Linked DNA regions of Cricetulus griseus. The protein of the gene in region 4 purifies or fractionates together with the protein of the main gene of each other region. This does not show direct contact. Links are inferred from orthologs where the notes say so. Each region holds a gene or a part of one and is shown on either strand. Other genes may lie near its edges.

What was found.
Region 1: the proteins of Eef1a1 (region 4) and Rbx1 purify together in Homo sapiens (affinity purification with western blotting; 3 studies listed by BioGRID, with this or other methods). This does not show direct contact. The link is inferred for Cricetulus griseus from reciprocal best matches to the Homo sapiens genes EEF1A1 and RBX1.
Region 2: the proteins of Eef1a1 (region 4) and Eef1b2 purify together in Homo sapiens (affinity purification with mass spectrometry; 3 studies listed by BioGRID and IntAct, counting the BioPlex papers as one, with this or other methods). This does not show direct contact. The link is inferred for Cricetulus griseus from reciprocal best matches to the Homo sapiens genes EEF1A1 and EEF1B2.
Region 3: the proteins of Eef1a1 (region 4) and Eef1g purify together in Homo sapiens (affinity purification with mass spectrometry; 5 studies listed by BioGRID and IntAct, counting the BioPlex papers as one, with this or other methods). This does not show direct contact. The link is inferred for Cricetulus griseus from reciprocal best matches to the Homo sapiens genes EEF1A1 and EEF1G.

What each region holds. Positions count from the first base shown.
Region 1 is NC_048595.1:378,618,382-378,626,033, reverse strand, and holds the start of Rbx1 (E3 ubiquitin-protein ligase RBX1), read right to left. Parts: upstream 5,159-7,652; 5' UTR 5,080-5,158; coding exon 5,002-5,079; intron 3,199-5,001; coding exon 3,120-3,198; intron 1-3,119. UniProt on the Homo sapiens protein: E3 ubiquitin ligase component of multiple cullin-RING-based E3 ubiquitin-protein ligase (CRLs) complexes which mediate the ubiquitination and subsequent proteasomal degradation of target proteins, including proteins involved in cell cycle progression, signal transduction, transcription and transcription-coupled nucleotide excision repair.
Region 2 is NC_048595.1:417,278,817-417,286,574, forward strand, and holds Eef1b2 (elongation factor 1-beta), read left to right. Parts: upstream 1-3,236; 5' UTR 3,237-3,515; coding exon 3,516-3,595; intron 3,596-4,060; coding exon 4,061-4,183; intron 4,184-4,788; coding exon 4,789-4,915; intron 4,916-5,041; exon of another isoform or gene 5,042-5,120; intron 5,121-5,200; coding exon 5,201-5,267; intron 5,268-5,421; exon of another isoform or gene 5,422-5,553; intron 5,554-5,674; coding exon 5,675-5,800; intron 5,801-5,901; coding exon 5,902-6,056; 3' UTR 6,057-6,109; downstream 6,110-7,758. UniProt on the Homo sapiens protein: Catalytic subunit of the guanine nucleotide exchange factor (GEF) (eEF1B subcomplex) of the eukaryotic elongation factor 1 complex (eEF1).
Region 3 is NC_048596.1:51,128,708-51,136,421, forward strand, and holds the start of Eef1g (elongation factor 1-gamma), read right to left. Parts: upstream 4,557-7,714; 5' UTR 4,420-4,556; coding exon 4,408-4,419; intron 3,403-4,407; coding exon 3,244-3,402; intron 2,242-3,243; coding exon 2,178-2,241; intron 2,027-2,177; coding exon 1,884-2,026; intron 1,613-1,883; coding exon 1,469-1,612; intron 1-1,468. Other genes in the region: Tut1 (speckle targeted PIP5K1A-regulated poly(A) polymerase), read right to left, coding at 5,346-6,469, 6,982-7,074, 7,193-7,303, 7,441-7,550. UniProt on the Homo sapiens protein: Probably plays a role in anchoring the complex to other cellular components.
Region 4 is NC_048597.1:189,543,223-189,550,676, forward strand, and holds Eef1a1 (elongation factor 1-alpha 1), read right to left. Parts: upstream 5,158-7,454; 5' UTR 5,125-5,157; intron 4,181-5,124; 5' UTR 4,147-4,180; coding exon 4,003-4,146; intron 3,892-4,002; coding exon 3,712-3,891; intron 3,633-3,711; coding exon 3,336-3,632; intron 3,253-3,335; coding exon 3,102-3,252; intron 3,018-3,101; coding exon 2,761-3,017; intron 2,674-2,760; coding exon 2,439-2,673; intron 2,351-2,438; coding exon 2,226-2,350; 3' UTR 1,957-2,225; downstream 1-1,956. UniProt on the Homo sapiens protein: Translation elongation factor that catalyzes the GTP-dependent binding of aminoacyl-tRNA (aa-tRNA) to the A-site of ribosomes during the elongation phase of protein synthesis.

The DNA.
Region 1 (7,652 bases), on a different chromosome or scaffold from region 4:
TGGAGTGGGTATGGCCTTGCTGGGGGAAGTGTGTCATGCTGGGGTGGGCTTTGAGGTTTCCTATGTCAGGATATCATCCAGTGTCTGAGTCAACTTCCTGTTGCCTGCAAGATGTAGGACTCTCAACTACTACTTCAGCACCACATCTGCCTGCATGCAGTCATGCTCCCCTTCATGATGATGATGGACTGAACCTCTGAAACTAAAAGCCAGCCACCCCAATTAAATGTTTTCCTTAGAACAGTTGCTGTGGTCACAGCTGGGTGGTGGTGATGCTTGCCGTAAATCCCAGCACTTGGGAGACAGAGGCTGGTGGATCGCTGTGAGTTCAAAACCTGTCTAGTCTACAGAGTGAGTTCCAGGACAGCCATAGCCATTACAAAGAGAAACCCTATCTTGAGGTGGAAAAAAAGAAGAAAAAGAAAGAAAGAAAGAAAGAAAAAAAAAAAAAGAGTTGCTGTGGTCATGGTTATCTCTTTATAGCAATAGAAACCATAACTAAGGCAACCCAGACAAGTACTGGGATTCCAAGTATATACCATTATACTCAGATATATCAGGTTTTTATTATATAAATTCAATATTTTATCTCATGTGACATTTTGAACATAATGAGGTAAGCAGAGGCAGGAGGATCATGAATTTGAAGTCAGCCTGGTTATGTGCAATTTCAAAAGAAAACAAAAACCCAAAACAAAATAAAAACCCTAAAAAACAATAAAGATAAACAGGGCACTTAACCCCTGAGGCAGGAGGATATGAGTTCAAGGCCAGACTGGTCTACAGAGCAAGTTTCAAGATAGCCAGGGCTACACAGAACAAAAACAAGGGGCTGGAGAGATGCTCAGCGATTAAGAGCATTGGCTGCTTTTCCAGAGGTCCTGAGTTCAATTCTCAGAACCCACATAAAGGCTCACAACCATCGCTAGTGGGAAGTGATGGCCTCTTCTGGCATAAAGGCATACATGCAGATAGAGCACTCATATATATAAAATAAATAAAAATTTTTATAACAAATTCGGGAGGGTGGTGGCACACAGATCCGAGTTCCAGAACAAGCTCCAAAGCTTCAGAGAAACACAAACAAATAAACAAAAACAAAACACACACAACATATTATTAGACAATGTAAGTATCTAGTGGGGAAAAAAACATACTAGAGTTCGTTTGTCCTCCCAAGAAGTATGTTCTCTGGAATGTAGAGACACAAAATGACTTAAATAAAGGAAGGTAAGAAGGATATCAGTTCCAAGGACGTAAGATCCTCTCTAGTGCAACTTATGATCATACAAGGGACAGACTGCATTTACACAACCAGAGACTCCACTCGTATTTAAGCCATGCTGTTTCAGTGATGGGCTCCTCCCATCTACATTAAACATTGCAGCTGCTGATCTGCTTTCACTATAGTATAAAAAAGAAAAGGTCAAAGTTCAAAGAAACTCTAAGTCATCAACAACAACCAGCAAAAGGCACATGTGCTTTTTTTCTTTCTTTTGGTTTTTCGAGACAGGGTTTCCCTGTGGCTTTGGAGGCTGTCCTGGAACTAGCTCTTGTCGACCAGGCTGGTCTTGAACTCACAGACATCCACCTGCCTCTGCCTCCCGAGTGCTGGGAGTAAAGGCGTGTGCCACCAACGCCCGGCAGCACATGTGCTTTCTAACACAAATCTTTTGATTCATGCTTTCCAAGTGATCACAGACTGTTAAATATTTGTTTTTTTGTTACTCATCTAGCAAATATTCAGTGCAATTTTAGTATGTATTAGACAATATGTTAGAGCAGTAAATAACAGTTAAAAAAGAGGACCACCTAAATAAATGATAAACATAAAGGGGCACTATGGCATATTCTTAGGAATATCTGAGAGAATTGCCAGTAGCCTATGTGTACATGAGTAAATGTAAAGAATGTGTGTGTGTGTGTGATATACACACATATATCACACACACACACAAAGACATACACAGAGATGCTGTTTAGACCAGCAAATACACAATTTTAGATTATATATGGCTGGCTGTAAATTTAATTTATAATATATTCACTTATTTAATGTGCTTGGGTATTTTGCCTGCACCAGAGGATACCTGGTCTGTTGGAGGCCAGAAGTGGACTTTGACTAACCTGAGACTGAAGTGATAGGCCATGTTAAGCCTCCATGTGGTTGCTGGGAATTAAAACTCAGACCTCTAGAAAAGCAGCCAGTGCTCTTAACTGCTGAACCATTCCTCCAGCCTGTGACTGTAAATCTTGCTCAACAAAACCTAGCTCAGATAAGAGTACTGAAGCTCAAACTTTAGCCCTGGCGGCCTGTAATTTGCCACAATACTCCTGTTACTGCCTCCCAAATGCTGGAATTACAGGTATGCACGGTTTATCTACCTTCAAAGGTCACTTTCTTTCACTATTGTGTCTGTGTAAGATGGGAAGAAACAACATCTCTTCCTATAACTCATTCTAAATGGGATCTTGTTGGCTTTACAATGAATAATTTATTCTGAGACCTGGGGATGCCTCCTAAGACATTATTTAAAAAAATAACTTTATTTGAAACGGTTGATAGCAACCGTTTGGGCAAATTGTTTTTTGTTTTGTTTTGTTTTGTTTTGGTTTTTTGAGACAGGGTTTCTCTGTGTAGCTTTGGAGCCTATCCTGGCACTCGCTCTGAAGACCAGGCTGGCCTTGAACTCACAGAGATCTGCCTGCCTCTGCCTCCCAAGTGCTGGGATTAAAGGCATGTGCCACCAACGCCCGCCCGTCGAAAAATAGTTTTAACTATTTAACTTAATAATAAAAATAATTTTGAGTGGAGCTGAGTACTGGTGGCTCAGGCATTTAATCCCAGACCTCAGGAGGCAGAAGAAGATGGATCTGAGTTTGAGGCCAGCTGGTATACAAAGTAGTTCTAGTACAGCCAAGGCTACACAGAGAAACTGTGTCTCAAAGAACAAAATAAATTTATTTCAAACACACCAACGGATGAGATGCACTCATGCCCAAGGGTTTTGACCCTGCTTTGTATCTATCTACTTGTAAAGAAGAAAATTGGTCACATCAGGATGACCACCATTTCTGTAACCTTTTCCATTTCTCTCCGTCCTCCCTGAGTTACTTACAAAGATCCATAATGTGGTTCCTGCAGATGGCACAGTTATCAACCACAATATCCCAGGCCCAGAGGGCTACTGCATTCCACTGCAAAGACAAAGGGGGTTAACAATGCATTTTCCTAGTAATGTAACAGGATTTCAGGTTTCAGTTCAAGCTACCAACTCCCTGGCCTTAGGGGCTATCAAAGAAAGAATGTTTTTGGATTATACTATTTGTACTACATCAGAGGACAACAGCAAACCACATGTATGCTTCCTCATTCATCTGAAGATGTAAACATGGGATGCTTCAATTTTCTGTCTATAGTGTAAAATAATTTAGCTAGTCCAACCAATGTAAGCAAATTAGAAATATTTTTTAAACACCGGTTTTAGATTTAAAGAAGTACAAACTTGAATTATTGTGGAGCTTTCCCTGGCAGTTGTGGAAGGACTCAAAATCTGCAGAAGTCTCTGCTCTTCAAGCAGTTTTGGACACATAAGGAGGTGAACAGAATGGAGTAAAATGATGACAGGATCATAATGTGGATAATCGTGGGATAAGCCGGATAGCCAGTTACCTACCTAGCTTCAGTACACAGAACAAGGTCATCACTTAAATCTTAACAGATTAATTCATGGCAAAGTAGAATCCACTACAATTTTCTTTCCCTCTTATCCTGGAAACTGATGTTGTCAACTTTTATATGTCCAAACTATTAATTCTAGTAAGCAAGTCGATCTAAAAGTAGTTCAACTGGCTTCTGCAATTATACATACATATTGACAGACACCCCTTTCAAGGGCTCTTTCAAATTCAAGTCTCAGAAGTTCAGTAACTTCTACATCACTTTTTATACCACAGCATCAACTCGGGGGGTTGAAAAAAAAACGATTACTTCTATTCTTCAATATGGCTGCTGGCTGTAACTGAGCAGCAATGGCCACAATGAGATGCCAGAAAAGGGGGGTGGGGTGGAGGGTGTGCTCAGCGACACGCTCCAAAAATACATGAAAACATCTCTCCGACTACAATATCTTCATTTTTACAGATTTATGTATTCTGAGGTAGGAACTGACACCTTTCTCTCAAACTGTTGGCAAACTATGAAGGGAACAGCATGCAAAAAGACTTTCGACATTTTTGCTTTCCTGCTCCCAAATCATGAACAATTAGTATTCCACTTTCCTAAATGCCACAAGTTCTGGGCTTGCTTTTAAAACAAAGCCCACGAAGCTTTGTAACTACTGATTTTGATAGAAGGGTATCCGGACGTTACAGAACTATGGGACTGGCAAAACCTATACGTGACAAGCAGTAGACATTTCTGAAGAACCAAGTCTTATACTCGAGACTAGGGCCTTAGAGCCTAATGGAGGCCTCCATACAATCGAGGACCCACACCAGGTCTCTCCGAGTCAATAGACTCAAGGATCCAGGAAGGGGCGGGGCAAGGAGAACACCGACCGACAGGGCTCCTGAGAGCCTCCTCTGCGGTAGGGGCTCACGCTCCCGGCTTTCTCCGCACTGCCCCATCCTCCACCCGCCGCAGTCTCTCCGAGAGCCTCCATTCCACCCACCCCACCCTGTCCTTCCCCCACCTCTCAGTCAATTCAGTGACAGCTCAAGCGCTTGGCTCCCGCAACCAAGTCGACGCAGAGTATTTCAGTAAGACATCCTGCGATTGGCCCCTCAGCTACCCCAGCGAAACTTATATGGCCTCAGAGACTGGGTCACCATCATGCCCATCAATCCTAAAGCCCGCCCCCCAGCTTCCTTTTCGTGGTACCCGGTCCCAGGAACGCCCTGAAATGAAGCTCTTTCCCCCGCGCCCCGCTCGTCCTGGGGCCTGCCAGCCATATCCACACCTCTCTAGCTTCCCTGAGGAAAGTGCTGGCCAGACCCAACCTTTTTCACTTCAAAGCGCTTCTTGCCCGCGCCGCTGTTGGTGCCGCTGGGGGTATCCACATCCATCGCTGCCGCCATTTTGGAAACACACGAACACCCGGCAACTGCGCTTGCGCACCGGGTCACACGTCGCCTCCTGCTCCCCACCTCAGGCTCCTCCTCCCGCACCCCTCCCCTTATTGGCGCGCGCGGGTGGAAGGGGCGGAGCCTTCGCCACGCCCCTTAAAGGCGCAGGCGGATGTTCTTCGCCCTCCGCTGGGGAGTAGGCTTGAGGCGGGGCCCGGCGGGGCCGAACTATGTGAGACAGCCGGTGGGAATGTCCGTGAGGTTTCACGCTGCTCGCCTTCAGGGCACCCTCTTGGCCTGATTCCTTCATCTGGGGCGGTGGCTGCCCTTCTTTGCCGGGACTTGCACCTGGTCCATTCTCACAGCGCTGCCCTCCGGTGCTGCGATGGAAGGGGCTTGGGCGGGTCTGTGGAAACCCGAGACTCCACACGGGCCTTCCTCTGGTGGTGGCCAGCTTTGGGGCTACGCGGTGTGGCAGTGTCCTGGAGGCCTGCGGCCAGGTTTCCCAGAGCCCGGGCACCAGCCGAGTTCCCAATGAGTTTGGGAAATGATTTGATGGGGAGAGAAGAGGCTTGAATGTTCTGCCCCAGACCTAACAGACATTCTGCAGCTCTGCCTTCGCTTTCTCACCAGAAAGAGATGGAGAACGCTTAATTAAGAGCCTGGGAGATGCCATATTACCTCTCCTAACCAGCCAGTCCTAAATGTCGTCCCTTTCTCCCCATTTCCTATCCCAATTTGGCTGCTTGAACTACAGTTAAACTAGTTTATCTGTAGTGGCTGGACTTGAATTTGGATGAGGCATTCTGATAATCTTACCGCTCATTTCCATCGAGCTAAACAACATGCTCCCACGTTTAGTGCAGGCCTCCATGGTTCTATCTCCTAAACTAGCAGAGGCATGACTGAAATATATCACCTTGAATTTTTTATATTTTTATTAGTCCTATAATCCTAGGACTTGGGAGGTAGAAGTAGAACGCCGTGGTGTTCCAGTTCCCACAACAGGACAACAAAAGAGTTATATTTGTAATGTCACATATCCTTTTAAAAGAGATACTTATTGGAGAGTAATGGAGTGTTGTTAATGTCATTGCTGAGCAGGGCAATACTTCCAGAAACAACACCACAGCTTTAACGTGCACAAAGAAAATGTGTGACAGCCTGGCTGGGCCTGCCTGTATGTGTTTGTCCAAGTTCTGCCTCCCATGTTAAAACTGTCATTCATTTATTATGTGTTAACAAATTCCCTATGGGATGCTAGAAATCTACAGTTAATTAAGATACTGAGGACATACTTATTCATTATTCAACAAATATCTTGAGTATGTATCAGGTCTTTTAAATTTTGTTTTGTTTGTTTGTTTTAAAGATTTATGCTGGGCGTTGGTGGCACTCACCTTTAATCCCAGCGCTTGAGAGGCAGGCAGATCTATAGAGTGAGTGCTAGGATAGGCTCCAAAGCTACACACAGAAACCCTGTCTCAAAAAACAAAAACAAAAACAAACAAAAAAAGATTTATTTACTTATTATGGATACAGTATTCTGCCTGCATGCCAGAAGAGGACACCAGACCCCATCATAGATAAGGTTGTGAGCCACCATGTGGTTACTGGGAATCGAACTCTGGACCTCTGGTAGAGCGGCTAGTTCTCTTAACCTCTGAGCCATCTCTCCAGCTCCAATTTTGGTTTCTTCTTTATTTTTTTAAAATTTTTTGGGTTTTTCGAGACAGGATTTCTCTGTGGCTTTGGAGGCTGTCCTGGAACTTGCTCTTGTAGACCAGGCTGTTCTTGAACTCACAGAGATCCGCCTGCCTCTCAAGTGCTGGGATTAAAGGTGTGCGCCACCAACGCCAGGCCACTTTGGCCTGGAAATCTGAGCAATTCTGTTGCTTCTACCCCTCAAGTGCTGAAGATAGAAGGGATGAGCCACCATGCTCAGCTACACAAGGTCCTACTTTAAACAGGAAAGCCACAGTGATGAAATCAACTTTTAGTAGGGACACAAAGCACCATCAATGATATCAGGAAGTCTCAGGTAGCAATGAAGGTTATAAAAGACAAGATGATGAGACTGAAGGGAGGAGTCAACAATATGTCTTGAGTACTATGCATATAGTTTTAAGAAAGGCATTGGACAATGTTGTTATTGTGTGAATATTATATATGGTAATTACACAAACCTAGATGGGGTAGCCTGTTACTGAAGCTATACTGAGCTTACTACTTCTAGGCTCCAAACCTGCACATACTGTTACTGTGCTGAATACCACAGTATTCTCCAGCCCTCTATGAATGTTTTTAACACCTGATTTTGTATTTCATTTATTTATTTGCTTATAACATTCCAATCTCAGTTTCCCCTCCCTCCTCTCTTCCTGCTTTCCCCTCCTTCCCCCCACCACACCTCCCATCCACTCCTCAGAGAGGGTAAGGTCTCCCCTAGGATGTCAGCTAAGTCTGTCCCATCCCCTTGTTGAGGCAGGACCAAGCTCCCCTCCAAATCTCCCCCGCCATGTCTAGGCTGAGCAAGGTATCTCTCCATAGAAAATGAGCTCCACTAAGTCAGTTTATGCATTAGA
Region 2 (7,758 bases), on a different chromosome or scaffold from region 4:
TGACATAAAACTGCAGCACAGCCTCTAATATCATAATTTTTCTTTTGGAATTTTTAAGTTTTGTTTAGTCAGTTGGTTTTTGTTTAGTTTTGGTGACGGGATCTCATGTAGCTCAGGCTGACCTTAAACTCCTGATCCTCCTGCCTTTATCTCCAAACTGCTGTTATTACAGGGATGTATGTACAAGATGACTAGTTTGTTGTGTTTGTTTTTTCCTTTTAAAGGAAAAAAATTATGTGATTAGAAAGTATCAACATTAAAAAATGAGTAAAAAAGTTTCAATAGCAGTAGCAGAAGTAATAGAAAATAGTACAAAAACTAAAATTTTTTCTTTTTTTTAATTAAAAAAATTAAGTGTAAGTGTATTATATTTTACCTGTATGTATGTCTGTTCACTATGTGCATGCTTGATGCCCAGAGAGGCCATGACTGGGTGTCAGATCCCCTGGAACTGGAATTACAACCAGTCATATAGTTTTTAGGAATCAAACAAGGTTCTCTAGAAGAACAGCCAGGATTCTTAACCACTGAGCCACCTCTCCAGCTAATCTTGAATTCATGTCCTTCTGCCTCTACCTCTTCAACATACCCTATTGGCATGTGCTACCACACGTGGCTTTTGGCTATACAGAGACCAGGCTGGCCTGAATCCCACAGAGAGAGATTCATCCACAGGCCTTTGCCTCTTAAGTGCAGAGATTAAAGGCACTACCATTCCAGATGAAATAGAATCCTAAACTCTAAAGCCTATAGTTATCACAGATGACCTATAATTAAAAATTCATTAATTTACAACTCATTTCACTTAATTCCTTAATAACAGTAATTACAATTTTCAATACTGAATTTGAAGACATCAAGTCTGGTGTCTGTAAATAATTTCTGGTAAATCAGTTATTGTTTGTTTATCTAGAAAGCAGATCTACAATACCAAGGTCAGTAATTACCAATAATAAAAACAAAGAAAAAATTGCAATAAAAACTGACTTCAACTTCAATGGGCATTGACAATCAGATGTAAAGTGCTCTTCGCTTGTGGTCCTTTTCTTTACGAACATCACACCATACATTTATTTTACTGTTCTATTTACTAAACTTGGGCTAAGCATGTAGCTTTAGTGGAGGACCACTTCTTCAGCCTACACTGGGCTGTATCCCAAACACAAATAAACAAACAAGCCCCCAAAACTAAGTTCCTGGAGAATTTTGGTAGCTACTAGACTTTAAGTTCCTTGACAAGAAATCTGACTATTCCCATTTTCTGGCACAGTACCCTTACAAAAACAAGTCACCAAATTCCAGGATGAGCAGTACATACTCCATTAGCAAAAAGTACTGATGGGGCCAGCGTGGTGGCCCATGGCCATAATCCCAGCACTGGGGAACTTGAAGCATTTGATGTCAGCCTGAGCTACATGATATAAAACCTACATAGACAGTTCGAGGATAACCTGGTTTATACAGCATACAGTTTGTTTTGTTGTGGTGTTTTGCTTTGGTGGTATTTGATTTTTGAGACAGATCTCATAAACCTCAGAATGACCTCAAATTTGCTATGAAGACAAGGATCAACTTGGGACTCCTAAACTTCAGATCTCCACTTCCCAAAAAGCACCAGGATTATAAACATGAACCACGACATCCAGATTGGTATATGTTTCTTGTTGCTGCTTTTTACATTCATTTATTTACTTTGTGTGTGCTAGCATACATTAACTGCGGTGGGGCTCGTGCAGATGAAAGCCAAAGAACAACTTTTGGGAGTCAGCTCTCTCCTTTCACGTGTGGGTTCTAGGAATTGAACTCAGGTTGTCAGGCATGACAGCAAGCACCTTGCCAGCCCTGGAATGTATTCCAAACAGGAACAAAAATAGCTACTCAAGCTAGGGATGTAGTTCAGTTAGTAGAGTCCTTACCTAGCATAAAGTCCTGGGTTCAATCCTCTGTCTCGGCCTCCCCAGTGCCGGGATTATAGACAAGCACCACCGCACCTGGCCCATATCTTGGCTGTGACTTAGACAAACAACTTTCTAAAAGTTGCTGATGCTCTAGCTCAGAACACTCCATTTAATGCAAAACTCAGTGAAAGAAAAGAAAAGAAACCCCCCCCAGGAAAAACGAAACCTAATGTTTACAATTCAGTTTGACTTTGTATCTCAAGACCTTGAAGACACTGCAGCTTCCTGATTTGCGGCTGGGCCCCGAGCAAACTTTTTAAGATTCATTTTTTTTAAAACTTATGTGTGCATGTGCATGTCTGTGTGGGGCTCATGTAAGTGCAGGTGCTCACAATCTAGAAGAGGGTGGCAACCTCCTAGGGCACAGTGACAGGCAGTTGTGAGTCTTCTGAACTGGACACTGAGAACCGAATTCGGATCCTCTCTGCAAGGTACTTGAAAAACCGCTTAGCTAACCAGCCCCGGCTAACTTTTAAAAAGTTGTGGGGAGATTTCCCCGTCAGTAGAATAAATAAATTACTACCCAACATGGTCAATGAACTAGACAAAAACAAACAGTAGTGTGGACAGCTGCAAGACAGCAACTAACCAATGATGCCTAAGGTTTAAGTCCTTCGTGACACTGGGGCATGAGCCGGTCTCCTGTCAAGGCCACCTCCTGCTTTCCCCTGCAGAGAAAGCAGCTCGCAAGCCCGAGTTCCCAAAGGTCTGCTCCTCTTCCTCCCTCTGCTTCACCGGCCGGTTCTCCCGGGTTCCCGCGGTGGCGGGGCGGGAGGCGGTACCCAGTCAAGGACAAGAGGGGAATGACTTCTCTGACCTAAAGGATACAATGCTGCCAAGAAATGGAACCCGGCTTGAAGCCCTTCAGCCTTCCCACCTAAACACGCCCTCACCTTTTCTCCGGAGCCCACTAGGCTGCTCCGCGGACTGGTCCGGATCTCTCTGACCCCTCAATACCGGGCCGCTAAGTCAATATGGCGGCCCCGGCTAACTCCGTCACAGGAACTGGAGGACGGAGAGCCAAGAGGGACGAAAAACCCAGGCTCGACAATTTTTTTTTTTTTTTCCCCCTCTTTGGACTTGTTCGGCAATTTCCGGCAACCCGAGCGAGAGTCGGGAGGAAGCGGAGGGGACGACTTGGACCCGCAGTTCCGCCGGAAGTAGCTGAGGCCTTGAGGCCGAGCGCTTTCGCTCAACTCCGGCTCTTCGGGGGGCGTTTCCCTTAGTTTCGGAATCCTTGTAGGTAGGCCTTTTAAAATGCCTCTTTTATTAATTTCTCTCCGGTCCCAAGGAAAAGCCCGCGGACAACCTGTGGGCCGTTTGATTCCCAAGTCCCGGCTTTACGTGGAGGGACGAGACTAGGAATGTCCTTTGACCTTTAACCTCTAGCCGGTGCAGTGGAGGGAAACGCCTCCGTCTCTATATAAGGACTTTTCCGGCCGGCCCGGGCCCTTTTTCCCTTAGCGCCGGCCGCGGGCTTCTGGCGCTCTCTCTCTCTCTCTCTGTCTCTCCCTCTCCCTCCCTGCTGCTGCCGGCCTCCGGGATCCAACCGACGCCATGGGTTTCGGAGACCTGAAAACCCCCGCGGGCCTCCAGGTGCTCAATGATTACCTGGCGGACAAGAGCTACATCGAGGGGTGAGTCTGGAGGCCGGGGCCACGTGGCGCGGGCTCGGCGGGAGGAAGGGGGGGGTGGGAGCCGAGCCTGGGTCTCCCGGGGCCCGGATGCTGCCGGAGCAGGACCTCCCGGCAGGGGCTGCAAGCGGAATCATTGAAACAGGCTTGGTGGCCGCGTGGCCGCGTTCAACCAAGTTCTTCCGCGTCTCCGCCGAGTTAGGAAATCTAAACCTGGTTTGGTGGCTGGCCCGATGGCAGATGGTAGCTTTTGAGGTCTGTCCAGATACGTGGCAGATGCTGTTGGTTTGTGGAGATTCGAACACGTGTTCGGTGCACTTTATAGTTAAAAGCAACTAAAGCAACTTGTTAGCCCTGCAGTAGTTCCCACTAGTTAGTCTGACGGGTGTAGAGCTTGTCCTATACTAGCTGGTGTTCGTGTCTTTTCTTTAAGAGGTGTGTGCACTTTGTTTTTTGTGTCACCGGCAGGTACGTGCCATCGCAAGCAGATGTGGCCGTCTTTGAAGCCGTCTCTGGTCCTCCGCCCGCTGACCTGTGTCATGCTCTGCGCTGGTATAACCACATCAAGTCTTACGAGAAAGAGAAAGCCAGGTAAAAAATGTCTTGGTGCCACCTGGGTTTTCACATGGTAAACTAGGACCTAGGTTAAGTTACTTAGCTTTGTTGGGCTTGGGTAAGCTGAATTTCTTTGTGACCTTAAAAGGCCAAGAGACTGAAGCCCTCCGTTTTCTCACGGAACAGGTAGAACATGGACAACAGCAATTCAACTTTACCCCACACCTCTCTGCCAGTATGCTTGGACCTGGGGGGGCCATCGCTGGGGTGAGAGGGTAGCTCATTCATTCAGTCCCTGGCCATTCTTCTGAAACTACCAGCAAGCAAGGGTGGAGAGTTTGGGGAAGTGGACTCCAGTTAACTAAGAATGGAAGTGAGCATACTTAATGAAATCCCAAACAGAGATGTTCATTCTGAAAGAGTTAAACCATAGTGAGTATTGAGTATGATGTCTCCCGTGGTACTAATGTTTGTTGGAGGAAGAGCTAGACACATAACATCTTTACCTGGGATTGTTTGTGCTAAAGGATAAATAACCAGAATAGAAGAGATTGAGTGTTACTGGGAAAGAAAGGTTGTGTGTTTTGCCCAGAAAAGAATATGACACCCGACCTAATATTGGTAGAATGTTTGTTTTCAAGCCTGCCAGGAGTGAAGAAATCTCTGGGCAAGTATGGCCCTGCCAGTGTGGAAGACACCACAGGAAGTGGAACTGCGGATGCTAAAGATGATGATGACATTGATCTCTTCGGATCAGATGATGAGGAGGTATGGCTGACCTCATATAGAGTATGTTGATAAGGCAGCGTAAGTGTAGTATAAGTATAGCTGTGTAGTCACTCCCTGGAGTTGACCCCTGGCTTTGCTTTGTTATCTGCCTTTAAAAAGATATCACTGGGTATATGATGAATAAAATCAAATCACCATCTTTCGGCTGAGCTCCTGATGGATTTGCTTTTTTCTGATAAATCTGGTCTCTTTTTTTGTAATGACCCTGTCACTGTGTTTAAGCAGAAGATAACCAACTTTGTGAAATTTTTGTTTCCTATACAGGAAAGCGAAGAAGCAAAGAGGCTCCGAGAAGAGCGCCTTGCACAGTATGAATCAAAGAAAGCTAAAAGTAGGTAATTTTACAGTTGTTTACCTTCATTGGTAAATAATAATGTGAGTGGTGGTCTTTTCCAAAGCTTGACCCTAAAGTGGTTTTTTTTCCAGTTTCATTGAATGGGTCGGTATTTTTAAGAGTCTTCAATAAACATCTTTCCTTATGGAACATCCACAGCTACTGGTCTACAACTGTTCATATGATAGCAGCTGTAGCATTCCTCTGTGGGAAAGAAACTGTTACACAATTTAATGCCTCTTTCTTAGCCAAATTGAAAGAGGAATATGCGTGACAGACACAAGGTAAATTCTGTATGTTTTTTCAGCAAGAAGATGTCTGTTTTGAAACAAGTTGAGATTTGGCCTACGGTAAAGGTGTTTAGTAGAGTGCTTAAGTATAATGCATTTCTTAATCTTTTTTAGAGCCTGCGGTTGTTGCCAAGTCTTCCATCTTACTAGATGTGAAGCCTTGGGATGATGAGACAGACATGACAAAATTAGAGGAGTGTGTCAGAAGCATTCAAGCAGATGGCTTGGTGTGGGGCTCTTGTAAGTTTACTGATGGGTTTTGAAGTTGAAATTCATGTACATTTTCAATGTTTTCCCATCAATAAGAATTTCCTAACTTTTTTCCCTTGTTCTTTTTTTAGCCAAGTTGGTTCCGGTGGGATATGGAATTAAAAAGCTTCAGATCCAGTGTGTAGTTGAAGATGACAAAGTTGGAACAGATATGCTAGAGGAGCAGATTACTGCCTTTGAGGACTACGTGCAGTCCATGGATGTGGCTGCTTTTAACAAAATTTAAAACCATCCTTGGTCAGTGCACTTGAATAAAATCTCAAACAACCCTTGACTCTACATTCTATTGTGAGAAATGGTGGTGTGTGTGTCTTCATTTGGGGGAAAGGATTCAGTGGCTATGTAATTCCTAAGTAATGAAAACTTGGCTGGAAAGACAGATAAAGCACCAGGTCAAGCCCACTTGGCCATGCTTGATTGACCAGCCAGAGTTTAACCCTCAGGACCCACAAGGAAGAGGACTGACTCCTAGAAGTTGTATTTTAGCCAATGTGTTTTTCACATACCATATGACTACACACATTAAAAAAAAACAACTGATGTGTTATTAAACATTTAGCAATTATAGTTAATTTTGTAGCCTTTGTTGATAAAATTCTGTGGCTGTCAGCAGCAACACATGGTGCTGATGAATATGGTCTATTGTGAACAGACGTCTTCAAGATTGCTTTTTTGAAAAATTGACTTTTGGCCAGTAAGATGGTTCAGCCAGTAAGGGTACTCATAACACACATTTACCGCTTGGGTTCGGTCCCTAGAACCTGGGTGGGAAGTAGAATGCAGACTTTGGAAAGTGCTCCTCTGACCTTGACATGCACAGCACTCAGTCACAGAAGTATTTTCTTCATCAGTGTTAATGTATGTGCCACATGAATGCCTGCCTGGGGAATTCATAAAAGGTTATTGGGTCCCTTGGAACTGGAGTTACAGATGGGTGTTAGCGACTATGTAGGTGTTGGTGCCCAGGTTGTCAAATATTCCTAATTGCTGAGCAATCTCTAGCTCCCTCCTTCCCTTTTCTATGCCACTGTACCAGAGGAGGTGAGTCATAACGTCCATTTACAAATGTCACGTATTCATTCAGCTACAGAGGATGGGCCTATTGTTAGAAGTGTGATCTGATGCTAGGGATTGTACTGCCCTGGAAGTACACCATTGAACACATCAGCCATTTTGGCTTCATGTTAAATACCAAATGTAGTTACTATTGTTTTTACAGTTTGGATGTTGTGTCTTTAAAGCTTGCTGTATTTTGTAGATAGAATTCAGAAGGATAAATAATCCAGGGTTATTTCGCTCAACCAGCCAGTACTCTTGCTATCAATCTAGTGAGGGAAGCTTCCTGTAAAGATTTATTTAATAAAACATTCGCTGAGGAAAAGACAACAGATGCGGCCTGAAATAGTGGGAAGATTTTTTTCAGGATCATAATGGCCAGCAGAGGGCAGTGTCTAAACGACGAGAGCCAGAGGAAGGCAATGTCAGAACCATGAGGGTCGGCAGAGGGCGCACTTGCTCTTCTGGAAATTCATAGTGCTTGAGGATTCTGCAGAACACTGACGTAAAGGTATATTTTATTCATCTTATACTGGTGTCCACGTAAACAAAAGACCAAAAGATGGAACTATGCTGGCGATGCATGTTCTTTGAAGTACTGAGTTCGGACCAGCCTCTATATCACCTGGGAAATGTGTTTCTATTGTTTATAGTAATCTACACACTTGTATACAGCCGGAATTTTCCATAACCACGATGTTCTAAAAAACTAAAACTGAACACAAAATTGTAGACACGCTTCAAGAGGTCTGTCCCCTCTGATTCTGAGCCAGCCTAGTCTTGCTTTGACCAGTTGGATATTGTGGAAACAAGGCTGTGAGTGACATTCATAACCTTTAACAGGCCTGAGGATGAGGTTCGGTGGTGGAGCA
Region 3 (7,714 bases), on a different chromosome or scaffold from region 4:
CCATGCATATCTGCGCACCGTGTGCAAGCCTGGTGCCCACTGAGACCAGAAGGTATTGTATTCCCCTTGAGCTGGAGTTAAAGAAAGTTATAAGCTGCTATGCGTGTACTGGGAATTGAACCTGAATCCTCTGCAGAGTGCTCTTAAATGCTGATCCATCTCTTCAGCCACACACTGTCTTAAATTCTTAATTTACCTTCCATTTTTATGTATATGGGTGTTTTGCCTGCACATATATCTGTACACCACATGCATTCTAGTGCTCACAGAAGCCTGAATTCAGAGGGCATCGCATCTCCTGGAAAGGGAGATACAGCTATTAGGGCATCATGGGGGTGCTGGGAGTACTCTGTAAGTGCAGCAAGTATTAACTGTTGGCCTATTTCTCCAGCCCCTGTCATTTTCAAGTTTGCCAAAAATAGGAGGGGGTGAGAGCTAAATCTGGTCATGGAGACAGATCACAGAAATCAGGAAGTTGGGAACTTCAAGTTCTGAATACTTGGGTTCAAGTTATACTTGAGTACTTACAAGCTGTGTGCTATAGGCACAGAAACATTATAATGAACCCCGTGAGGCATACGGTCAGAACAGTAGGAGCTTTTTTCTTTGTTCCTACTGTACTACAATTCTGAATCAAAATGGATCCCCAGCTATTGCTTGGAAATCAATACAACATTCTTTAAAACCCAACAACAAAACCAGTAACCTGAGGGGCTGGAGAAATGGCTCAGCAGCTAAGAGCACTGGCTGCTCTTCCAGAGGACCCAGGTTCATGGCAGCTCACAGCTGTCTGTATCTCTAGTTCCAGGGGATCTGACACCCTCACACAGGCATACATGCATATACACAGACAGACAGATGGCTGTTCTTCTAGATGGCCCTGGTTCAATTCCCAGCACTCACTTGGTAGCTCAAAACTCCTTAGGACCGGTACACATATGTACATACATACATGCTAATACACATAAATGAAACAATTTTAAATGTTTTAAAAAACATAGGAACCACACAGTGATTACTACCACCTTGAATTTAACACAGATAAAGTAAAATAAAATAAAGAACTGTGAGAATTCTTACATCCTTCTATCTGTACCAGTAAATAATGAAGCCAGGATAGGGACTTGGATCTGCCTCCAAAAGCCCTTGACGCTGCAGTGACCATCCTTACCTATCTTTAATTTATGATCTCGCTATACAGCCCAGGTTGGCCTCATACCAGAGTGATCCTCCTGCCTCAGTACCTTAAGTGCTGAGGTTACAAGTGTAAGCCACCACACCCAGCCTTACCCATCTTTAAATTAAACCCATTATTTTCAAGAAACTAAGCAACATCACCTAAAATGAAAACACCCACCGTACTCAATCCTGGGATTCCTACAGCCATTAACTGATGAGTCCTAAGTAGAACCCAGGGCACCCCAGCACCAGTCAATCTCCTGTCTAATGGGCTCTTTACAAACCTTACCTGCTTGTAGAGCCACAGAAGGGTGCAGACAACTGTGATATCAGCCAGGGTCACTCGCTCACCCACCAAAAAAGTCCTTGTCTTCAAATGAGTGTCCAGCAGCCCCAGGATTCGCTTCACCTCCTCTTTTGCATTTTCAGTGGCCTGTTGTTTTGAATATTCAAGTTTAGTGGGTACCAAGTCCCTTTCCATTTAATCAGCATTGGCTCAACCCCCAGCCTCTATCACTAGAATCTAGGATCACCTGAAAATGTATTAGAACTAAAACATGCATGTTCAGTCTCTTCAGAGTTGACATGACTATTTCCCACCATACTGACGGCGAGCACTTACGACTTTGCACTGCCACACATCACTGGCATCTTTCCCTCCAATATAGGAGTTGACCCCATCTCTGCCAAGTTCCAAAGCATACCTGTTTGTTGTGGTGCATGATGCCCAAGGTGGGGAACACCCAGGTACTGGCTGGAGGAACGATGTCACTGTCAGCAAAGCTCACCCACTGCACCACCTGAGCCGCTGCCTCTGGAGTACTTCCACGAAGGTCCTCATTGCTTACTGCAAAGGCACAACATAAAGCTTGGAACCTAAAGATCATGCCCAAACCAACCCAGGTCTCTATGATCCCACCCCGTCCACTGCCGTCACTCCCAGCCACTTCTACAGCCTCATCCCCAGAACCTCTCAATCCTGTGTCCCCACAAATTACCGTAATGGGCAATGGCATTGCTCTCAAACACACAGAATCCGTCGTCCCCCTCAAATGCTGGGACCTAGGGGCGAAGTAGTTAAGAGACAAAAGCAAAACACAGGGATTTCTCACTAGCCAATTCTTGGGATTGAACTGTCAAGAATGTTGAGACAACCCTTGCTATGCAAACTTGCAACATTATCTGAGACTCATATGAAAAATAATCAGTAACTCTCTCGTAATCTGAATCCAGTGCCTGGACTAAGAATTCAAACATGGCTGAAATGTGAAATTACGGCCTCATACCCTTATTCCCAGTCTGAATCTGAAATCAGCCAGGGCTAGTGTGACACCATCTCAAAATAAAGAATATTCTCAGGTATGGATGTCTTCAGACAGTCCTCCACCTACAACTCCGCTACCCAAGGCATTAGGTGCAACCCACACACAGCATTTGGCCGGGCAGTGGTGGCGCTCACCACTGGGGAGGCAGAGGCAGATGGATCTCTGTGAGTTCGAGGCCAGCCTGGTCTACCGAGTGAGTGCCAGGATAGTGTCCAAAGCTACACAGAGAAACCCTGTCTCAAAAAACAAACAAACAAACAACAACAACACACACACACACACACACACACACATATACAGCATTTGCCGTCCTCCATACTCAGCGTTGGATATTTATCTCTACTCAAGCACTCTGGGATATGAATCCAACTTGCAAGAAACCTAGTATGTATGTATTGGCCCAAATACATTTCATCCCACAAATCCAAAGCAGGTCTGTAACTCTGAGAGTCACCAAACTGCTCTGAATTTCCCTTTATAGAAAGGCTCATATTAGATTATATAAACTGACCTCACACAATCCTCCTGCCTCAGTCTCCAGAATGCTAGGATTACCAGAAGGCTTCAAAATGATTTTATTTTTCCTTCTGGGTGCTTGGACAGTCAAACTCAGGGCCTTTCATCCCTGGCCCCATGAAATCTTTAAAAAGTAACTTCAATGTTGAAGAATAGAATATGGAGGCCATGTCCAAAATAATAGAATTTTAGGGCTCTTTGGGGTCCCTGCTTCTCTACTCACCTTGCCAGCAGGAAACTTTCTGAGAAATTCAGGGGTGCGGTTGGTTTGGCCAAAGTGGAAGTGGGGTGGTGCGGAGAGCACGCGGACCTGAGCCCCGCTGTACTGAGCAGCGATGAGGGCCTTGAAGGCTCTCCAGTTTTCAGGATATGTGTACAGGGTCTGTGAGAGGAAGGGTGGAGAATGGACATGAGTACAAGAATCCTGAAAGCGACTCCCCACACTTTCAAAGCCTTTGATTCATCTCCACTCCTTCTGGTAAACCAAATTAACTGAGTATGCCCTATGTAATCAGAGTCCTCTGAAATAGCGAGAACAGAACTGCGTACCAGCTGCTAAATAAAGCTTGCTGACAGACGTGACCTCCCGTAAGGACATCACTAGCAGCATTCTTCCCTTCAGAACTTCGTGGTCCCACCAGTCTTCATCTGCCCAAATACACACACCCTTGCCTCCCAGAGCCCTTGTTTCATTCATTCGTGGTGACCCAGTGTATGGCCACAGCCAAGCTGGTAGCACCTCACAAGCACACACATCGACCAATGGATTTCAAAGTTCCCCTCAGAATGGCCACGTTGATTTCTAGCGGCATGCTCTGCTCATCAACTCCTCTTCCTAAAAAGTCTGTTTTTCCTCACCGAGCACTAACATCGCTCTGGTCCTGTCCTTCAGTGTTTCCAGTTGTCTCCCTACTAAAACCTGGCCAGAGGTGTCCAAATGGTCTGCCTTCAGTGTTCCTTGACTCCTCTGCTCCCAAACCTCCCCAAAAGACAACTCCTAACTGTGCCAGTCCCTCCTGCCCACAAAGACCCTCTCCTTTTTCACTGTCCCCGTCGGTGACCCACAAAACGGTCGCAAAAGTTCCACCAACCTACCCAGACACCACATCTTAAAATGGCAGTGCAGCTGAGCCACTTTTTAAACATCCAGACACTGAAGACCCAGCATCTCTTCTCCTCAACCCCAGAACATTCCACCTCTGGCCTCCGAGCCCCAGCCTCAGTTCCCCTCCAGGCCCTAGGAACCCTGCTCTCCGGCGGTACGGCCTGCGAACCCCAGATCGGCTCTCCGTTTGGGTCTGGAACTCTCCTGGCGCCGACTGACCCGACTCAGTCAAAGGATGGCGGTGGATGAAGTGACCTGGATCACCAGAGCCGGCGAACTTACCCCAGCCGCCATGGTGATTCCGCAGAGAAAGGGGGTGGGGCTGTCGGTGCTGCCGCAAAGTAAGCCGCCAGGGAGACAAGGGAGGGGGTAAGGGGACAGCCGTACGGAAACAGCGGCCGGAAAGCGAGGACGGCATAAAAGGCATACGCACGACAGTTCCGTCTCCAGCCGCGCTGAGTTGGAAAAAGCACGGGGTGGGGCGCACTGCCTGGAGCGCAAAGAGCTGGCGCCTGCGTAGTATGGCTCTGGGCAGCCCGCCCCGCCCGTGTGGCCGACCAATCGGAAGCCTGATAGGAGACGGAGCTCACTGAGGGCGGGGAGAGTGTGAGAACCGGCGGAAGCACCGCCCCAACCGCTAGTAGCTCTAGCCTACTAGGAACTACATGGGCTGCAAGGAAGGAGTGGCAAGTCACTAAATTCCTTTTGTTCCTGTTCGGGTTTTTCTATTAAGGGATTGTCTGTCCGGCAGGGCTCATGGCCGAAAACATCTGAAAGTAGGTCTGCGATGACTAAACAACCTTGATGTTAACTCTACAACAAAGGGGACCGGCAAACTTGTATGTCACCTGCACCTCTCAAGCCGGGCTGTGCTCCAGAAGGTCGGGTAAGGTAGACCAGTTCTAATGCAATAATTTACACATATCCAAATTTGGAAATCTCGTATCCAACTTAAGGGAAATTTGAACTCACTCTAGTGTTAAAGGGTAGAAAAGGCAGCAGAAATCAGTGCCTTTGTCTTGTGGTGTGGAACTCCCTATAAATGTGGTATGAGGTGGGAAGACCTCTGAAGTGGACATAATGACTGTTTTAGGATAGTCAGGCCAAGCAGGGCAGAGGCTACATTAAGACAGAGAGAAAGTGTTACCAGGTAGAAATCGCAGTTGTCCATTGTCTGTATTAAATAAACTACCAGCTTTATTGTCTGTGAGGTCGCCTCCTCACTCAAGGAGATTTTTAAGTGCTTGAGGGAGAAAAACCTGTAGGAAATGATGAAGCCCAGGGAACAGGCCTTGGGAATCTTGGACTGGTACCACAGTGAGCGCCTGGTCAGCTTGGGAGACAGATGCCACAAAGGTGAGGAGGGGCTCCCCCTGTAGCCTCTGTTGCTCACTGTCTGGTCCTTTCAGTTCCTGGGTCACACGAGCTTCCATTGCCAGCCACTCTGCTCCAGTGGTGGTGCCTCCTCTGCCTTCTTCTTTGGTTTGTTGCTGTAATCGTCTCCGGGCACGCCGCCTCCCCTGCCACACTTGGTGCCACAAAGCACAGCGCCAGCTCGCTGATGAGAGGTGTGATGTTTCCTTCCCTGTCTCACCCTGAGACTCTTCTCCAGCCACTTCGGGTTCCATGGGCTTCTGCTCAGCCAACTTGTCTAGACACTTCCAAGTCATCAGGGGCAACTGGCCTGATGGTGCAGAGCTCAGCAAGGCCCTGCCCTGAGACGTCTCTCGAAACTCTATTACCATTTCTTCCACCCCATTTTCACTGTGGTCCCCTGCACATCCCTGCGACTTCTCATTCCCCTCCTCCCAGCTCTTCTCTTGCCCATCTAGTCTCTGTCTTTTGTTTGTCCCTCCCAGGGAAGGGTCTTTGGTCCTGGGACCCTCTGACCTGGGCCTCTTGGTTCCCTGTTCTATATGACATCCAAGCGCTTCCTTTAACACTCGCACAAGAGCCGTAACGATCTGAGGAAAGGGGGCAGGTGGTAAGGGGATGAGCTTGGCAGACAGCAGGGAGCTAGGGGAGCTGGGCTGCAGAAGTGGCAGTAGTCCCCAGTCCCGGCCCCGGAAGGAACGCTGCTGGTACTGGAGGCTTCGGCAGTAACTAGCTGCTGCCCCACAACAGTTCTGCAGACGTCTGGCCACCCGGCTGGTTACATTGGCTGCAACATTGTGACTCAGGTCAAAGGGATCCTGGAGATTCATGGGGCCAAGGCGCAGCCCCTCCCAAAGATCAGAAGGCAGGCCCCCTGACACCAGCAATGCACAACCTTCCCGGAGGGACAGCAGGGAGCCCGAAAGATCCCAGCAAGAAACACAAGAGAAGAACTGGGCCAGCAGAGAACCTGGAAAAGGCAGATTAGGAAAAGGGTGTCTGTCACTTAGAAGCCATAATTGGGACATCCCTGCTGCTACTTCAGTAGGACTTTCTTCCCTTCTTAGGGCTTCAAAAGTGTCCTGAGAAATCCAGCTCCTCAGCCATGTCCTGCCCAGATGCTGCTGCTTGCCCTGGAGAGCAGTGTAACTAGGGAATACACCTCTTACTTAGCTGCCCAAGATATGGTTTTGTCATCCTTAAAACAGCAACCATGAGGGCTGGAGAGATGGCTCAGAGGTTAAGAGCAATGCCTGCTCTTCCAGAGGTCATGAGTTCAATTCCTGGCAACCACATGGTGGCTCACAGCCATCCGTAATGAGATCTAGTGCCCTCTTCTGGTGTGCAGGGATACATGATACATAGAGGCAGAATAATAAATAAATCAAAAAAAAAAAACAACAGTCATGGGGTTAGTGAAGACCGTGCCTATTCTAGAACTTAATATTATTGTTAGTTGTCTCCTAGGTTCCCCAGACTCACTGAGAGGCTCTAGGTTGGTGCTGGGCTCCAGTCGGGACGCATCCTTGGGGAAACTACAGTCCCAGCCATCAACTTCTACCTGCTCCCCTTCACCTGTGACAGTAAGAGAGGGTCAGGCTGGAAGTAGGAAAATTGGGGAAGAACGGGTAGAAAGTGGGGTGACAGTTGAGAAGAGGCTGCGGAGGTGACAGTAGAGGCTGTTCTGCATTACCTGATCTCTGGGTGAGCTGGGCCACAGGAGGAAGCACTGGAGGGTCTCTAGTCTGAAGGAAGTAGATCACTAGCAACGTCAAGGCGTAGTTATTGAGAAGGGGGCCGCCCCCTGAATAATAACCAATAATTCCAGTTAGGAAGAAGTATTTATAATCCCTGGTTCCTGTGCCCACCTTTTTTTCACCCTAAATCCCTCCCTTTGCCTAACACTAGCTCGGGCCAAGTCTGTGCTCTCCTCATTCTCACCTGACAGCCCATTATGCTGAGCCCAGCAGCGTACGGTATACACCAGAGGCCGGACTCGACCATCCATCTCAGAGCAGAGATTCAGGAAACGGGAGTTGTACAAGGCCAGCCTGGGACAATGGAGACACAAAGTTGTTATGGTGTAGGAATTCTTCAGACCTAATATCCTTCTATCTTTCATTATAGACTTAGGACCAGCTAAAATAAGATCCAAAGAGTTTTTCCCAAAGTTTTGCTAAAACACTGGTTATATGAAGGGGAACAAAATAAATAA
Region 4 (7,454 bases):
CTTGGCTTCACTGCATTTTCTAAGATGCTGGACTCCCAAACCTGCACTGAGGCAGACCTGCAGCTCCGAATAACCTTAAATCCTACTCTCGGTAGCCAAAAGCCCTTCATTACTGACAGAAGGCCTAGGGGGTTTGATTTCCCAGCCATTAAAAATGTGCCCAAGCTGGGGCTGGAGATGGCTCAGAGGTTAAGAGCACTGCTCTTCCAGAGGTCCTGAGTTCAATTCCCAGCAACCACATGGTGGCTCACAACCATCCATTAGGAGATCTGGTGCCGTCTTCTAATGTGCAGATATACATGGAAGCAGAATGTTGTATACATAATAAAAAAGTGTCCAAGCCAGGCAGGCAGACAAGATTTCAGCCCAGCCTGGTCTACACAACTAGCTCCAGGACAGCCATGACAAAGAAATCCTGTCAAAGCTTTTTTTAAAATGCCCATAATGTTTTAATGTTAAGAATACCTTCCTAATTCCTGTAAATTCCTTCGTTTTGTGTAGTTTATAGACACGTTTGTGCCTGGTACAGGCCATTAGGTCCCTCATACTAGAGTGTTGTGAATCCCAAATTCCATTTTACGTGTCTGAGGACAAATTCAACTCCAGACTAGTCACACTGGCAACCAAACACGTAATCAGCTAGACTTAAATAAAGCAAGCACTATATATATTAGCTTTCACTTCTGTTTTTCAACACTAAAGGACTGATGTATGCTGGTATGTAGTTAATTTGGTAAAGGGCTTTTATTTACATGCAAACCTTGAGGCCCTGGATCCCATCCGAGCTCCTAACACACATGCTCCTCTATGCTAAGCTTTTAAAGTGCCAGTAGGTGGCGCTACACCACTAAGTTGAATGCTAGGCGTGACAAATTTTTCCATATCCTATGGTGTACACCTTCTGAGACTCAATCCTGCCCCTTTCCAGGCAGATCAGGCAATGACTCCTTGCAGGTATAGTAATTCCTCACCGTCTGCCTACAACCCATCCATTTATACTGACAAACCTTTAGTCACCGGTTTAGTCATCAGCCCAATTGAACAAGCATGCACTATAGAATGGATAAGTGTACCAGTTTCTCCTGAAAGGTGAAAATGCCACTTTGCTTATGGCCCAGGTATTTCAAAGTGACTCCTAACCCAATTTAAGACCACCTGTTGTAATGACATCTACCAACTCAACCAACTCCACACTATAACTTTTTGTCCTTATCTCCTGCTAAATAAACACCCTGCAGATTACCAAGGGCTTCAGCGGTTGGGAGCACTTTTTCTCCCAATTCTGAATTCCCAGAAACCACAAGGTGCCTTCCAAACAATCAGATGTGGATGCCCTTATCTGGCAGTTGTACTATATGCACTAAAGCACTCACACATTAAAGTGTGTGAAGTACTCAAAGTCCCCCAATCTCACCTTCTACCTTTTCTGCTTAATCTTTGTGCCCCAGATGGCCTTTTAAATTCCTGATACCATTACAAGCTACAGAAAGGCTTATTTATATCCCAGCCTAAATAAAACCTCTTGAGCACTTTCAGTTTAAACTCTAAGTGATAGAATCAAACATCCAATGCACAAGATGAACCCTTTCCTGAAAACTAGTTCTAAAATTGCTAGAGCAAAGCCTGCCTCATATATTAATATTCACTAACAATACACTAACTGTATGATGTCATTTACTTGTGTAAACCCCAAAGGCTCAAGACAAATCAACTGAACTCACCCAGATGAAGGGTAGTCACCATGTCTGCCAAAAACATTCCTAATTTGTCCCAACCAGAACCTTCAAGACACCCACAGGTAATAAGCCATCTCTTGAGCCCTTGAAACTCAGCTCTGGGTCCTGATGAACAGTCCAATCCCTTGGAACACAAATGGGCATCCACATACCTTGCTAAGCTAAGCACTTAGTAATGACTTCAGCATTAACAGAGACAGACTTCTCATTAAACTTGTATTTTAATGGGTCTCAAAATTCTGTGACAGATTTTTGGTCAAGTTGTTTCCATTAAAAAGTACTGATTTTGAAAACTAATAACTTAAAACTGCCACACACACAAAAATGTTCCACAAAACATTCTCCTTTCCTCCTGAAGGTTTTCCGATGCATTGTTATCATTAACCAGTCTTTCACTATTAAACTTAAATGGCCAATTGAGACAAACAGTTCTGAGACCGTTCTTCCACCACTGATTAAGACTGGGGTGGCAGGTGTTAGGGGTAATATTCATTTAGCCTTCTGAGCTTTCTGGGCCGACTTGGTGACTTTGCCCGCTCCAGCAGCCTTCTTGTCCACAGCTTTGATGACACCCACAGCAACTGTCTGCCTCATGTCACGAACAGCAAAACGACCTACACAGAAACAGTTATGAGCACTTGTTCATACAGCATTTCATATCCAAACAATACTCAGTGCAACAGAAACTTAAGTTCTACTTACCCAGTGGAGGATAGTCAGAGAAGCTCTCAACACACATGGGCTTGCCAGGAACCATATCAACGATGGCTGCATCACCAGATTTCAAGAATTTAGGGCCATCTTCCAGCTTCTTACCAGAACGGCGATCAATCTTCTCCTTAAGCTCAGCAAACTTGCATGCTATGTGAGCTGTGTGACAATCCAGTACAGGAGCATAGCCAGCACTAATTTGGCCTGGATGGTTCAGGATAATCACCTGAAAGAAACAGCATTTGGTTAAATCTTGCCTTCAGGTTTTGCATGCTGCTATCAATATTACACTCTTGACACCTATCTTGTTTACCTGAGCAGTGAAGCCGGCTGCTTCCATTGGTGGGTCATTTTTGCTGTCACCAGCAACGTTGCCACGTCTGACATCTTTGACAGACACGTTCTTTACATTGAAGCCCACATTGTCTCCAGGAAGAGCTTCACTCAAAGCTTCATGGTGCATTTCAACAGACTTTACTTCTGTTGTAACGTTGACTGGAGCAAAGGTAACCACCATTCCAGGTTTTAAAACACCAGTCTCTACTCGGCCCACAGGAACAGTCCCAATACCTAAAAACATTTACAGTATATAAGGTGAAGACAACTGAACACACCTCAAAACATCTTAGTCCAGTGTCCGAATGCTCTACTTACCACCAATTTTATAGACATCCTGGAGGGGCAGTCGCAGTGGCTTGTCAGTGGGACGAGTTGGTGGCAGGATACAATCCAAAGCTTCCAGCAGTGTGGTACCACTGGCACTGCCATCTTTACGGGTGACTTTCCATCCCTTGAACCAAGGCATCTGAAATGCAGAGTAGCCAAATGTTTTATAATCTCTCCCCCCTTACAGCTTTTCCATTTAACCACCTTCTTCAAGTCACTTACATTAGCACTAGGCTCCAGCATGTTGTCACCATTCCAACCAGAAATTGGCACAAATGCTACTGTGTCAGGGTTGTAGCCAATTTTCTTAATGTAGGTGCTGACTTCCTTCACAATTTCCTCGTATCTCTTCTGGCTGTAAGGTGGCTCGGTGGAATCCATTTTGTTAACACCAACAATTAGCTGTTTCACACCCAGGGTGTAAGCCAGAAGGGCATGCTCACGGGTCTGCCCATTCTTGGAGATACCAGCCTCAAATTCACCAACACCAGCAGCAACAATCAGGACAGCACAGTCAGCCTAAGAAAAAGTTACCTCCCGTTAATAACAAAGCTTTCCAGCTGGAGGTAAGGGTCAGAAGGTAGTAAATTTCACAAACCTGAGAAGTGCCAGTAATCATGTTTTTAATAAAGTCTCTGTGTCCTGGGGCATCAATGATGGTCACATAGTATTTGCTGGTCTCAAATTTCCACAGGGAGATGTCAATAGTGATACCACGCTCACGCTCAGCTTTCAGTTTGTCCAAGACCCAGGCATACTTGAAGGAGCCTTTTCCCATCTGTTCAGTGATTCGCAGTTAGTACACTCAAAACATCTAGTTTCTAAATAAACAATTTCCTGCTTACGGTAGATTTCCACCCCCCCCGACCTTTTCCCTTCGAATACTTGCCTCGGCAGCCTCCTTCTCAAACTTTTCGATGGTTCGTTTGTCGATTCCACCACATTTGTAGATCAGGTGGCCGGTTGTGGTGGACTTGCCTGAATCTACGTGTCCAATGACAACGATGTTGATATGAGTCTTTTCCTTTCCCATGTTGGATTTGAATTAGCGGTGGTTTTCACAACACCTTAAAAAAAAAGTTCGAAGAATACCTTTGAACGGCTAAGCAGCTTTGTCAATCAGCTTCGCTCCAAACTCAAAATGGGCAAATTCCAAGAATTACTTCCATGGCCAGGCTGGCCTGGCTACAGTCTCCACCCACCAAATGTGAGCAAACTCCAACGCCATTAGACAGATCCCCTCCCCCAGCGGAGGCCAGCGGTGCTCCGAAAGAGCGCCCGGGGTGACTGAAGTGCGGCCGGTACACCACGGGGTCACAGGAAGCAGCGGCCGGCGAGGGGCAAGGCCCTCTTCCTTTGTGTGGGTGACTCACCCGCCCCGCTCCGCCGGGCTGCCGCGTCCTCCATTTTGAGCTCCTTGCTACAGGGCCCGGGAGCGGCCATCTTTCCGCGCACGCAACTGGTGCCGGGCGGGCGGGCCTCGCCCTCCTCGGAGCTAAGCCACTACGGGGTACTGGCCAGACCGGGCCGGGACCCGGGGCCACCTGAACCCGGCATCTAAAACCCACCGCCCGGCCGCCTTATCAGGACACAGGCCGCTACCCGTCCAGGCGGCGTCGGACATGTGCTGCGGGACGGGCGGGCCCGGTCCCCCCCCCGACTGCTGCCGCTCTCCCTGCCCGACATGCGGACTACGGGGCTCCCTACCAGCCAGCTCCACGCCCTCCCTTTGTTGGCCCGGGCCGCGGGCAGGCAATCGAGGGCAGCCGGGCAGACAGCAAAGCGCGGCCGCGGTGGCACGCGGCGGGGCGGAAGCCACGCTAGGCCTCACGCCCGACACGAGGCGAGGCTCCGGGGCCGCCGCCAGGCCTCCCCCCCTCGCCCTCCCGCACAGCCCGCCATCCAGGGCGGGAACGCTCGCAGAGAAGCCCGGCCGACGACACCCGCACGGCGGCCCGACCCCGCTCAAAGGAGGGAGCCCGGGCCCGCGGAGGCCACACCCGCCACTCACCTGCGTTCTGACGGCAAACCCGTTGCGAAAAAGAACGTCCAACGCGACTACCGCACTTTTATACCGTTCTCCCCCACCCTCGGGAAGAGGGCGGAGCCAGCACACGACACCACTTTCCCAGTTTGCCCCGCGCTGGCTCCCGGGCCCCCGCTCAGCGCGCCCCTCCCCCACCGCCGGGGACTGTGGGCTTGTGCTCTCCCGCCGACCCGCGATCCGCCCTAGGCGCAGGCTCCTCCCGCCGCGCTGGGCGGGCACAGCGGTTCCGGGCTGGGAGGCCGGCCAGAATTTAGCGACGGTCCCTGGGATTCCCAGGGGCGAAGGCGATCCCTCCTTTTGTATGAATTACTCTCGGCTCCAGTCGGGGGTGGGGCGGTGAGGAGCTGGCCAAGAGGGCGTCCAGAATCTGTCCCTACCCTTCCTGACTCCACTGCCAAGGCTGTGTCGAGATCCGGGTGTCCCTTCCCGTGGAGGCCACCTCCCGACGTCAGCCCCGCCATCCCCCTGCTTGTCCCCCGCGGGAGAGGTGCACAATCCTAGGGACCCTTCCCAGCCCCAGAACCTAAGGGCTCAGCTCGGTGGCCGAGAGCTCGACGGATCTGCCCCTGTGCTGGCCTCTTGGTTCATTCCATCCAGCGCCAGCTGCTTCTCTGGAAGCCTGAAGCGCGCTTCACGCCCTGGGAGTTCCGTTCAGAATAATACTTAAGTCCCACAGTTAGCTTTACTTCTGATTCTGGGCTTCTTAAGCTAAAAAAGGATTTTGTGTGTGCGCGCATTGTGTGTGTGTGTGTGTGTGTGTGTATTTGGGTACAGTTATTTGATAGAGCACGAGGAACATGAAAAGAATCTAATCAACTCCACGTGGTCTCATTTAGAGGCCAGCATTAGCAATCTTACTCGCCCAGAGCCCATCCCTGACACTTGTGAAATCAGAGCTTCTCAAAAATGGCTCGTCCTATTATTTAAATGCTTGTCATTCCTACAGTTCCAAGGATCATAACTGCGTTTTGCTGTGGTTCTGATTGTGTGGCTGTTTTGTTTTTGAGACAGTCTCTTTAGCCCTGGGTGCCCTGAAACTCACTAGGTAGACCAGGCTGACCTCAAACTCACAGAGATCCGCCCTGCCTCTGCCTCCTGCGTGCTGGGATTAAAGGCGTGCGCCACCATGCCGGCCCTAGCCTGTTTTCTTTTCTTTTTTTTCTTTTTTTTTTTTTTTTTTTTTGGCCCTGGCCAGTTTTAAATGCCTCTCCGGGCAGGATCTCAGAAGAAAGAAAAACTTCTTTGTTGTTTTGTTTCTTAATGCTAGGGACGGTGAAAAGGTATTTTGTAATGGAATATGGGGTTGTGGAGATGGAACCGAGGGTCTCAGCACACCAGGCAAGCACTCTTATCACTAAGCTACATTTTTAGCCTTAGAGTATTTATTCCTAATAACCTGATTATGGGCTCAAGAGATCTCCTCCAGATGTACAACATCACTGCCTAGTAACAAACAATTGATATTATTGAACCAACCTAATAAGGAGCATTTGAGGACCTACTGTCCGGTGTCCACATGTGGGATCTGCAAAGGAACTATTTGCTTCCGGACAAGACTCCACAGTCAAGCTAGGAAGGAAAAAAACTGAAATATAAAACAAATTTTGGGATGAGTTGAAAGCAAATTTACATGATACTTGATTCTTACCTATTATCTAGTTCTAGTTTTCACAACCCAAACTGTTGTTGTTTTTAATTTTTTTAAAAATAGCATTATTTAGTGTGTGTGAATGCACATGCTGTGTATAGCTATGTGTGGGGACCAGAGGACACCTTCCAGGAGTCAGTTCTCTTCCCTCAACCATGTAGCTCTAAAGGATCCAACTCAGAGTCAGGCTTTGCAGAGAATGCCTGTGACCACTGAGCCCTCTCACCACCTCCTGATGTTATTTTTGTTTGTTTGAGACAAAACCTGGGGCGTTGGTGGTGCATACCTTTAATCCCAGCAGAGGCTGGCTGATCTCTGAGTTCGAGGCCAGCCTGCTCTTCAGAGCTAGTGCCAGGATAGGCTCCAAAACTACACAGAGAAACCAAAAAAAGAAAAGAAAAAAAAAAAAAAAAGAAAGGAGACAGAACCTGATGTAGTTCAGGGTGGCCTCAAACTCACTGTGTTGCTGAGGCTGGCCTTTGATTTCTAATCTTCTACCTCTACTTCCCAATGCTGGGATTACAGACGTGCCCCACCACACAGGTTTCTTTTCTCCTAATTCCTATATTACAGAGCCTTACAACCTTCTACAAGCAGGTTTTCTCATTTATCAGGAGGTTTCTGGCTTTGTTTGCACTTAATTCTG